2 linked regions of the Macaca mulatta genome follow. The protein of the gene in region 1 purifies or fractionates together with the protein of each later gene. This does not show direct contact. Links are inferred from orthologs where the notes say so. Each region holds a gene or a part of one and is shown in the gene's direction. Other genes may lie near its edges.

Region 1 (3,806 bases):
TACAGGCATGTGCCAGCACGCCTGGCTAATTTTTGTTTGTTTGTTTGTTTGTTTGTTTGTTTGTTTTTGAGACGAAGTCTCACTCTGCCGCCCAGGCTGAAGTGCAGTGGCCGGATCTTGGCTCACTGCAAGCTCCACCTCCTGGGTTTACGCCATTCTCCTGCCTCAGCCTCCCTGGTAGCTGGGACTACAGGCGCCCGCCACCCGCCCGGCTAGTTTTTTGTATTTTTTTTTTAGTAGAGATGGGGTTTCACCGTGTTAGCCAGGATGGTCTCGATCTCCTGACCTCGTGATCTGCCCGTCTCGGCCTCCCAAAGTGCTGGGATTACAGGCTTGAGCCACCGCGCCCGGCCAATTTTTGTATTTTTAGTAGAGACGGGGTTTCACCATGTTGGCCAAGCTGGTCTGGAACTCCTAACCTCAAATGATCCACGATGGGGTGCTTTTCTCACTGTACTTGCACACCTCTGATGACAGGGACAGCAGTTCTCTAAGCAGTCTGCTGGGCAGTGTGACAGGTGCAGCTTTGTAGGAGTCAGGGGCCAGAGAAGCAGCATGAGGCAAGGCTTCTCAGAGGAGGGAGCGAGTGAGCTGAGTCCTGAAGGATAGGCAAGCAATGGATTATCTAGTTAAAGGGAACAGTGTGTGCAAGGGCTCAGAGACCCCTTTAAGGATCTGGGAAGTCCAACGTGGCTCAGCTGTGGTGTGGAGAGAGAAGAGGAGGATCACAAGGCCCTCCATTGCCAGACTCAGAAGCTGGGCTTACTCCTGAAGGCAGAGGGGCACCTTTGAAAGGTGCGGGCAGGGTGGTAGATTTGTGGTTGGAACCTTCCCTTTGGCTACTGTGCAGGGATGGACCTGAAGGGGCTGATGTAAGACGGAGAAGCTGGGGAGGGAGCATCCAGGAAGGGACGAACTGTCTTGGCCTGGGATGGAAGTGGATGTGAGAGTCTTTAATGTTCCTCATGCATCAGGACTGGACTGGTCTAAACACATATGAGCAGTCGGGCTAAGGCCTGGGATGGACAGGCCCTCTGCAGGCTCCTGCCATGGCCAGCCCCTGAGGCAGGTCTCAGGCCCTGTGCTCCCCCTTTGCTGGGCTGCCTCAGGGTCGAGGGGACCTCCTCAGGTACCCTCACATTCCCCTCCTGCCCCTACAGATTCCCCAGGCATCCCCCCTAGCGCTGGGGCCCATCAGCTGTTCCGGGGCTTCAGCTTCGTGGCCACTGGCCTGATGGAGGACGACGGCAAGCCTCGCGCCCCGCAGGCACCCCTGCACTCGGTGGTACAGGTGAGGGGGGCAGGGGCTGCTGCTCCGTTATCCTTTTCTAAAGAATGGCTGTGAATACAGGCTCTGAGTTGGACAGAACCGGGTTCATACCCTCGTGCCACTGTGGGACCCGTAGGGTCTCCAACATAAAACAGGGACAGTAAGGCCCACCTCACACTGTGGCCCTGATAATTGGATGATGATATGGCTATACATTTCCCAGCACAGAGCAGGGTCTGGGTACATGCCAGGGGGTGCCCAGGGTGATGGTGCAGAGTGACTGTCGTGTCTCTGGCATAAGGGTAGCAAAGAACTTGTATCTCTTCACACTTGTTCCCCATTTGTACACTTCCACTGCCTCATGAAAGTTTCAGGTTGAGAGGCAAGAATGTAGACTGTGCAGCTCATTGCATGGGTTCCAGATTCACAAGATAATGGACGTTGGGGTTTTTTTTGTTTGTTTTTGAGACATAGTCTTGCTCTGTTGCCCAGGCTGGAGTGCAGTGGCACAATCTCAGCTCACTGCAGCCTCCACCTCCCAGGTTCAAGCAGTTCTCCTGCCTCAGCCTCCCGAATAGCTGGGACTACAGATGTACACCACCACACCCAGCTAATTTTGTTGTTGTTGTATTTTTAGTACAGATGGGATTTTACCATGTTGGCTAGGTGTCAAACTCCTGACCTCAAGTGATCCACCCACCTCAGCCTCCCAAAGTGCTGAGATTACAGACATGAGCACCCGACCAGATAATGGACTTTAGATGAGATACTTCCCTTCCTGGTGCCTCAGTTTCCTTATCTGTAAATGGGGAAATGATAGAATCTTCCTCCATAGAGCTATTATGAGGATTATTAGAGTTAATACATGTAAAGTTAAAGTGGGCTGGGCACAGTGGCTCATGCCTGTAATGCCAGCACTTTGGGAGGTCGAGGAGGGTGGATTGCTTGAGGCAGGAATTTAAACAGACCCGTCTGGCCGACATGGTGAAACCCCATCTCTAAAACTACAAAAATCTGATGGGCGTGTTGGCATGTGCCTATAGTCCCAGCTACTTGGGAGGCTGAGACACGAGAATTGCTTGAACCCGGGAGGCAGAGGTTGCAGTGAGCCGAGAATGCACCACTGCACTCCAGCCTAGCAACAGCGCAAGACTCTATCTCAAAAAATAAATAAATAAAAAATAAAGTTAAGGTGACTATGTAATTTATTTTCCAAACTGGGACATCTTTATCCAGGACAAATATTAAATCAGACTGGATGCAAGGACCGCAGGCGCAAGCCAGGGCTGGCCGTGGGGCATGTAGTCACCTGATGAAAGTGCTTAGAATACTGCCTGGCACGCAGCACACACTAAGCACCATTCAGCATTGCTATGGCTAATGTCCCAGAACCTTGAGACACCCCCTGAGTTGAGCTGTGACACCCCAGAAAGGGGAGGCAAGTCACTCAAAGCCATACTTAGTGGCACAGCTGGAACTCAGCTCAGGGCTCCTGCGTCCCTCCCAGGCCTGCCCAGGCTTTTCAGAACTAAAGTCCTCTCCATGTGTGTTGTGACCCTCTTGCCCACTCCCTGCGCTGCCCTCTGACCACAGGCTGCAGTCCAGGCAGGCTGGGAGCCAGCGAGTATGCCCAACATATAGAGTAGAAAACTGAGGCCCAGAGAGGGGCAGGCTCTCACCTGCAGTCACATGGCCAACACTCTACGCCAAGTCTCCTGGCCCTTCCCCGGTGCTGTCTCTACTGAGCCAAGACCTTGAATGCTGGGAGATGACCCTTAGCACTCTGGAGCCAGGGGTCAGCCACAATTTTTGGTCTCCTACAGCAACTCCATGGGAAGAACCTGGTTTTTAGCGACGGCTACGTGGTAAAGGAGACGATTGGTGTGGGCTCCTACTCTGTGTGCAAGCGCTGTGTCCACAAGGCCACCAACATGGAGTATGCTGTCAAGGTGGGCCTCCTGACCACGTCTCAGCCAAGGCTGCCGGGCCGGGGGCAGGTCCCCGTCTGGTGGGGAGGGGTGGTGCCTGAGCTCTGCAGATGTATGAAAGATTGTGTGGCCGAGACCTCCAGGCCTGCTCCATGGCAAGGAAGGACCCTGGAGCCTGTCACCCTGACACTGCCACATGCACCCACTTTCTTCAGGTCATTGATAAGAGCAAGCGGGATCCTTCAGAAGAGATTGAGATTCTTCTGCGGTACGGCCAGCACCCCAACATCATTACTCTGAAAGATGTGAGTGGGGTGGGGACCAGGAACTCGACTCTCTAGGATTTGTCTCAGGGTTGCCATTCCTTTGACTTCTCATCCTCTTTCCGGTGGTCATGTGGAGGGGAAAGAGGTCCCTTGGTCCCTCCAGTCTGCCCATCCCCCAAGGGCCCTCCTTCAGACTCAGGCATTTTCTGAGGACGTTCTTGCCTATCAGGGGACCAGTGTCAGCATCCTCCTTTTGGGGAAGGCGGGGCCACTGAAGAGCAAGCAGAATACCTGCCTAAGGCTCATGTCATTCTTCCCTGCTCTGGGGCGCTGCTGACCAGG
Region 2 (4,305 bases), on another chromosome or scaffold:
GTCCTGCGTCCGGCCCCCACCCCCATCCTTACCAACAATAAATACCAGCCTCTTTCTGAAATCACTTTCTCACCCCGTAAAACAGACATACCAGTAGGAAAAAAAAAAATCAAACCTGGCCCTTTAAGTCTTCCGTGATCCCATTTCGGAGTTTCCTCTTCCCAAACAAAAATAGACGGGTCACTCCCTAGAAGATCTCGGGGAGAGGCTCCTATACGTGTTGCCGTGTAGCTTCCGTACCGCAAAATGGCGCTATTCTGATCAGCAGAGTTGACACAATCAAATAGCCACACGGCACGGAGACGCATGCGTGGCGACAACAACAACAAAAACCACCACCCACATTACTTGATGGCTCAGGCGTGCGCAAAGCTCCCGGTTCAGTTTCCCGCGCTGGAACTTTTCCAATAGTAAACGAGCAAAGCTCCGCGCGCCCAGGTGGCGCGAGCGCTAGGATCTGTCGGTTGGGGTCCTACTTTTACATAACGCCCCCACAATGCCCTTCGCCTTCCTCTACGTGGCCCCCGCTCCAAGCCCATTTTCTGGAGCTAGGAATCCACTCTCTGGGTTAGGAAAGGCCCTCAGGAGGCGGAGGGAAACCTGTGGAATGCCGAGAAGCCGTGTAATGAAATAACGTCACGCCTGCCCCTCACCATTACTCTGACCAGGGTTCGAAGGTCACACTTAGAGACTAAGGGGAAATGGAGAAGTGCAAGGGGACGAGCAGAATGGCTGGCACCACCTCAGGTTAGCGCACTGGGCCGTTCTGGTTCTCACACAGCCCAGCCCAGCCCAGCCCTCCCAACCCAAGTCCCTACGCACGGAGCCAAGCCGCACCTCTCGCCTCATGAGGCCGGAGCCCGGAGTAAAACAGAAGGCCCGTCAAGGGTCTCTGGCGGGACTGACTCGCACTAGGGGCCCAACAGGCAATAAGGACCCAGCGCATTGGCCAAGGATAGGCCAGTCCCCAGGGAAGCAGCACCGCGCCGGGACTAGAGGGCAACTGTGAGGAGAGCTGCGAGGAGGGGTCCAGCCTGGCTCCCTCCTTTCCCCGCCCTAAGTCAGCTTCTTCGCCCAGTGAGCACACAACTGTATTGCCCAGGCTCCCAGGCCCCGAACGCCATACCTGGTTTCCGCTTCCGGTGGCTTCTCGTTGCGCCCCGCCCGCAAGCGTCCTCCTCCGGGGATTCGTGACAGCCAGGTCGTGCGCGGGTCATCCTGGGATTGGTAGTTCGCTTTCCCTCACTTAGCCGGTTTCTCTCTCTACCGGGGACTCCGCGTCCCGGCATCCACCGCGGCACCTGACCCTTGGCGCTTGCGTGTTGCCCTCTTCCCCACCCTCCCCAATTTCCACTCCCCCCACCCCACTTCGCCTGCCGCGGTCGGGTCCGCGGCCTGCGCTGTAGCGGTCGCCGCCGTTCCTTCGAAGTAGCAACTTCCCTACCCCACCCCAGTCCTGGTCCCCGTCCAGCTGGTGAGTCTGAGGTCTTCGCTGCTCCTAGTCGCTTGTCGCTGGGAGCCGCACATGGGTCTCCGCACTTTGATATGGGGGCGGGGGGAGGAAGCAACCAGGTCCGGCAAGGAGGGAGAGGTGGCTTGAGGAGCGGAGGGGGGATGTGTGGAATCCGGTGAAAGGGACCTGACAGTCGCCCCCAACCCTTGAGAAAAGGAGGGGCCCGATTCTTGCTTGAGAGTGATAAACTTTGAAATCCTTGGGAAAGGCGCCGGGGTCGTGCAGAGACTTGCATTGGTACGGAGCCTGAGTCGAGGTCCCTGCCGGAGTTGACACAGAGAAGAGAGGGCCCTGGCTTTCGGGAGCTCCAGGGACGTGGGTCGGGCTGGTGGGTCAAAGTATCTGTTGGCTTCTTTCAAGTGGTGGGACCCCAAAGAATGTTTAACGTCAAAGAAAAGGGAACTGAGATGTAAATTGGAGGAGTTGGAGAGGAGTGCTTCAGAGTTTGGGATCCTTTAAGAAAGGGTGGTTCTAATGTGGGAGGAGGGAGGATACCCGAGGCAGGGAAGGAGAACTTGAGCTTTACTGACACTCTTTTTTTCAGCTGACGTGAAGATGAGCAGCTCAGAGGAGGTGTCCTGGATTTCCTGGTTCTGTGGGCTCCGTGGCAATGAATTCTTCTGTGAAGTGAGTTCTCTTCGACCTCCCTACTTGCTGGCTTCACATATCTTCCCACCAGATGTTCCTTCACGTATTCCACTTCTACACTGTTCTCTTACATACTACTTGAAAACTTCCCATCAACGAAGAGTCCCCTCAATAACCCCCGACGAACCTGTGCTAAAGTGGCAAAACTGGGGCCCAAGTTTTGACTCTGCCACCCTCCAGCAGGCAATTTGTGTCTTTTTCTTTATCTTTTTTTTGAGACTGGGTCTCACTGTGTCGCCCAGGCTGGAGTGTAGTGGTGCGATCTCGGCTCACTGCGACCTCTGCCTCCCAGGTTCAAGCGATTCTCCTGCTCCAGCCACCCAAGTAGCTGGGATTACAAGTACCCGCCACCACACCCGGCTAATTTTTGGATTTTTAGTAGAGACAGGGTTTCACCATGTTGGCCAGGCTGGTCTCAAACTCCAGACCTCAGGTGATCTGCCCGCCTCAGCCTCCCAAAGTGCTGGGATTACAGGCATAAGCCATTGCGCCCAGCCTGTATCTTTTATTACTAAAGTTGTACTGCTAGTACATGTCTCAGCTGGCTGTTAGGAAAATTGAAATGCTACGTATTGAAATGTTTTGTTCAGAAACCATGCCGTTCAGCTTCCATCCTCCTCAGCCAGCTGAGAGGACAAAACTGGTTCCTAGAGATGGAGTACAGGAGTAGGGACAGAGATCTTGAAAAGAATGTCTAAGAAAAAGATTGCTGTACCTGCTTATCCTTAGAAAAGAAAAGCCAAAGCTTTATGGGAGGGAGTATAGGTGAACTAGGGAGAGACGCAAGTACTTCTGCTGAGTTGGGAGTGAGAAACAAGCGGAACAGATGCAGTTGTGTTGATGATAAGGCATCAGTTAGAGCATTTTGCCCAGGTCAAAGATGGGGATTTTGATATGGGTTCCCTCTTGGCTTCCATGTCCCCACAGGTGGATGAAGACTACATTCAGGACAAATTTAATCTTACTGGACTCAATGAGCAGGTTCCTCACTATCGACAAGCTCTAGACATGATCTTGGACCTGGAGCCTGGTGAGGCACCCTCAGGGTTGTTTTGTGTGTGTGCATGCACTTTTTTTCTCTTCAAATCTATATTCACTTACTTGAATTTTGAAATTTCCTTTGGTTCTCTGATTTCTTTAACCCCAAATTCATGCTTTATTTTGATCCTCCACCTGACTGTGTCTAGTTTTGTGACGTATATCACTTGTTCCCATGTTTTCTAAATCCACAATTCAGATGTTTTCCAAAATATGTTTCCTCATGGGTCTGGTTTGCTATTTCTCCTGCTTTGCACCTTCCAGTCTAGAGTTTCATCTTTTGCATTGACATTGTTGCAGTTATGTATTGGGGAGGGAGCTGGGAGGGAGAGTGGGGAGCGGAGGCTAAAGAGGTGTGAAGAGAAGACAGAGCTGTCTTGGGTTGGCGCAAGGGTCAGAAGCCCAGGTTTCTGGGTCACATGCCCAGATGTTGGATGGGGTAAGGCCCAAAAGTAGGTGCCAGGCGAACTGAATAGTCCGCACCCCCTGGATATGGGCAGGGCACCTAGGAAAGCTGAAAAACAAGTGGTTGCATTTGGCCGGGCTGTGTTTCAGATGAAGAACTGGAAGACAACCCCAACCAGAGTGACCTGATTGAGCAGGCTGCCGAGATGCTTTATGGATTGATCCACGCCCGCTACATCCTTACCAACCGTGGCATTGCCCAGATGGTGAGGCCTCTCTGCTCCTAATTGCCTCCTTCTGAGCAGTAAGGGACACAGGTTCCTGCAGCAAGAAGTCATGTTTAAGCCTTGTTTAAGGAAACTGGCTGAGAAGAGGAGAAGAACCCCAGGCTTGGGCCTGGGAATTGAATTCTGATTGGGGGTCATCCTGAAGGGATAATTTTCAGGGAGGGAGACAGTCCTTGAACAGAGAGTTGTGATAGACTGCCTCTTCCTCAGGGAACAAACAACAAATGGCTCTGATGGTTTGTAGCCTGCCTAACTGGAAGAAAGGCAACATAGGAGTTTGAGAGCCCATCTGGGCCAGAGAAGGGGCCTCTGGACAGAGGTGGGAGGAGTGGGGGACAGAGTGATATGGGTTGAGCTGAGAAGGGAGTTGCCTCTTCTCTTCACACCTACCTGCCAACCCCTTCCATTTTATTC

Evidence for each region.
Region 2: the proteins of RPS6KA1 (region 1) and CSNK2B purify together in Homo sapiens (affinity purification with mass spectrometry; 4 studies listed by BioGRID and IntAct, with this or other methods). This does not show direct contact. The link is inferred for Macaca mulatta from reciprocal best matches to the Homo sapiens genes RPS6KA1 and CSNK2B.

The regions. Positions count from the first base shown.
Region 1 is NC_133406.1:214,427,811-214,431,616, reverse strand, and holds part of RPS6KA1 (ribosomal protein S6 kinase alpha-1), read left to right. Parts: intron 1-1,160; coding exon 1,161-1,291; intron 1,292-3,093; coding exon 3,094-3,219; intron 3,220-3,413; coding exon 3,414-3,503; intron 3,504-3,806. UniProt on the Homo sapiens protein: Serine/threonine-protein kinase that acts downstream of ERK (MAPK1/ERK2 and MAPK3/ERK1) signaling and mediates mitogenic and stress-induced activation of the transcription factors CREB1, ETV1/ER81 and NR4A1/NUR77, regulates translation through RPS6 and EIF4B phosphorylation, and mediates cellular proliferation, survival, and differentiation by modulating mTOR signaling and repressing pro-apoptotic function of BAD and DAPK1.
Region 2 is NC_133409.1:150,652,840-150,657,144, reverse strand, and holds the start of CSNK2B (casein kinase II subunit beta), read left to right. Parts: upstream 1-1,427; 5' UTR 1,428-1,474; intron 1,475-2,057; 5' UTR 2,058-2,068; coding exon 2,069-2,140; intron 2,141-3,088; coding exon 3,089-3,191; intron 3,192-3,754; coding exon 3,755-3,870; intron 3,871-4,305. UniProt on the Homo sapiens protein: Regulatory subunit of casein kinase II/CK2.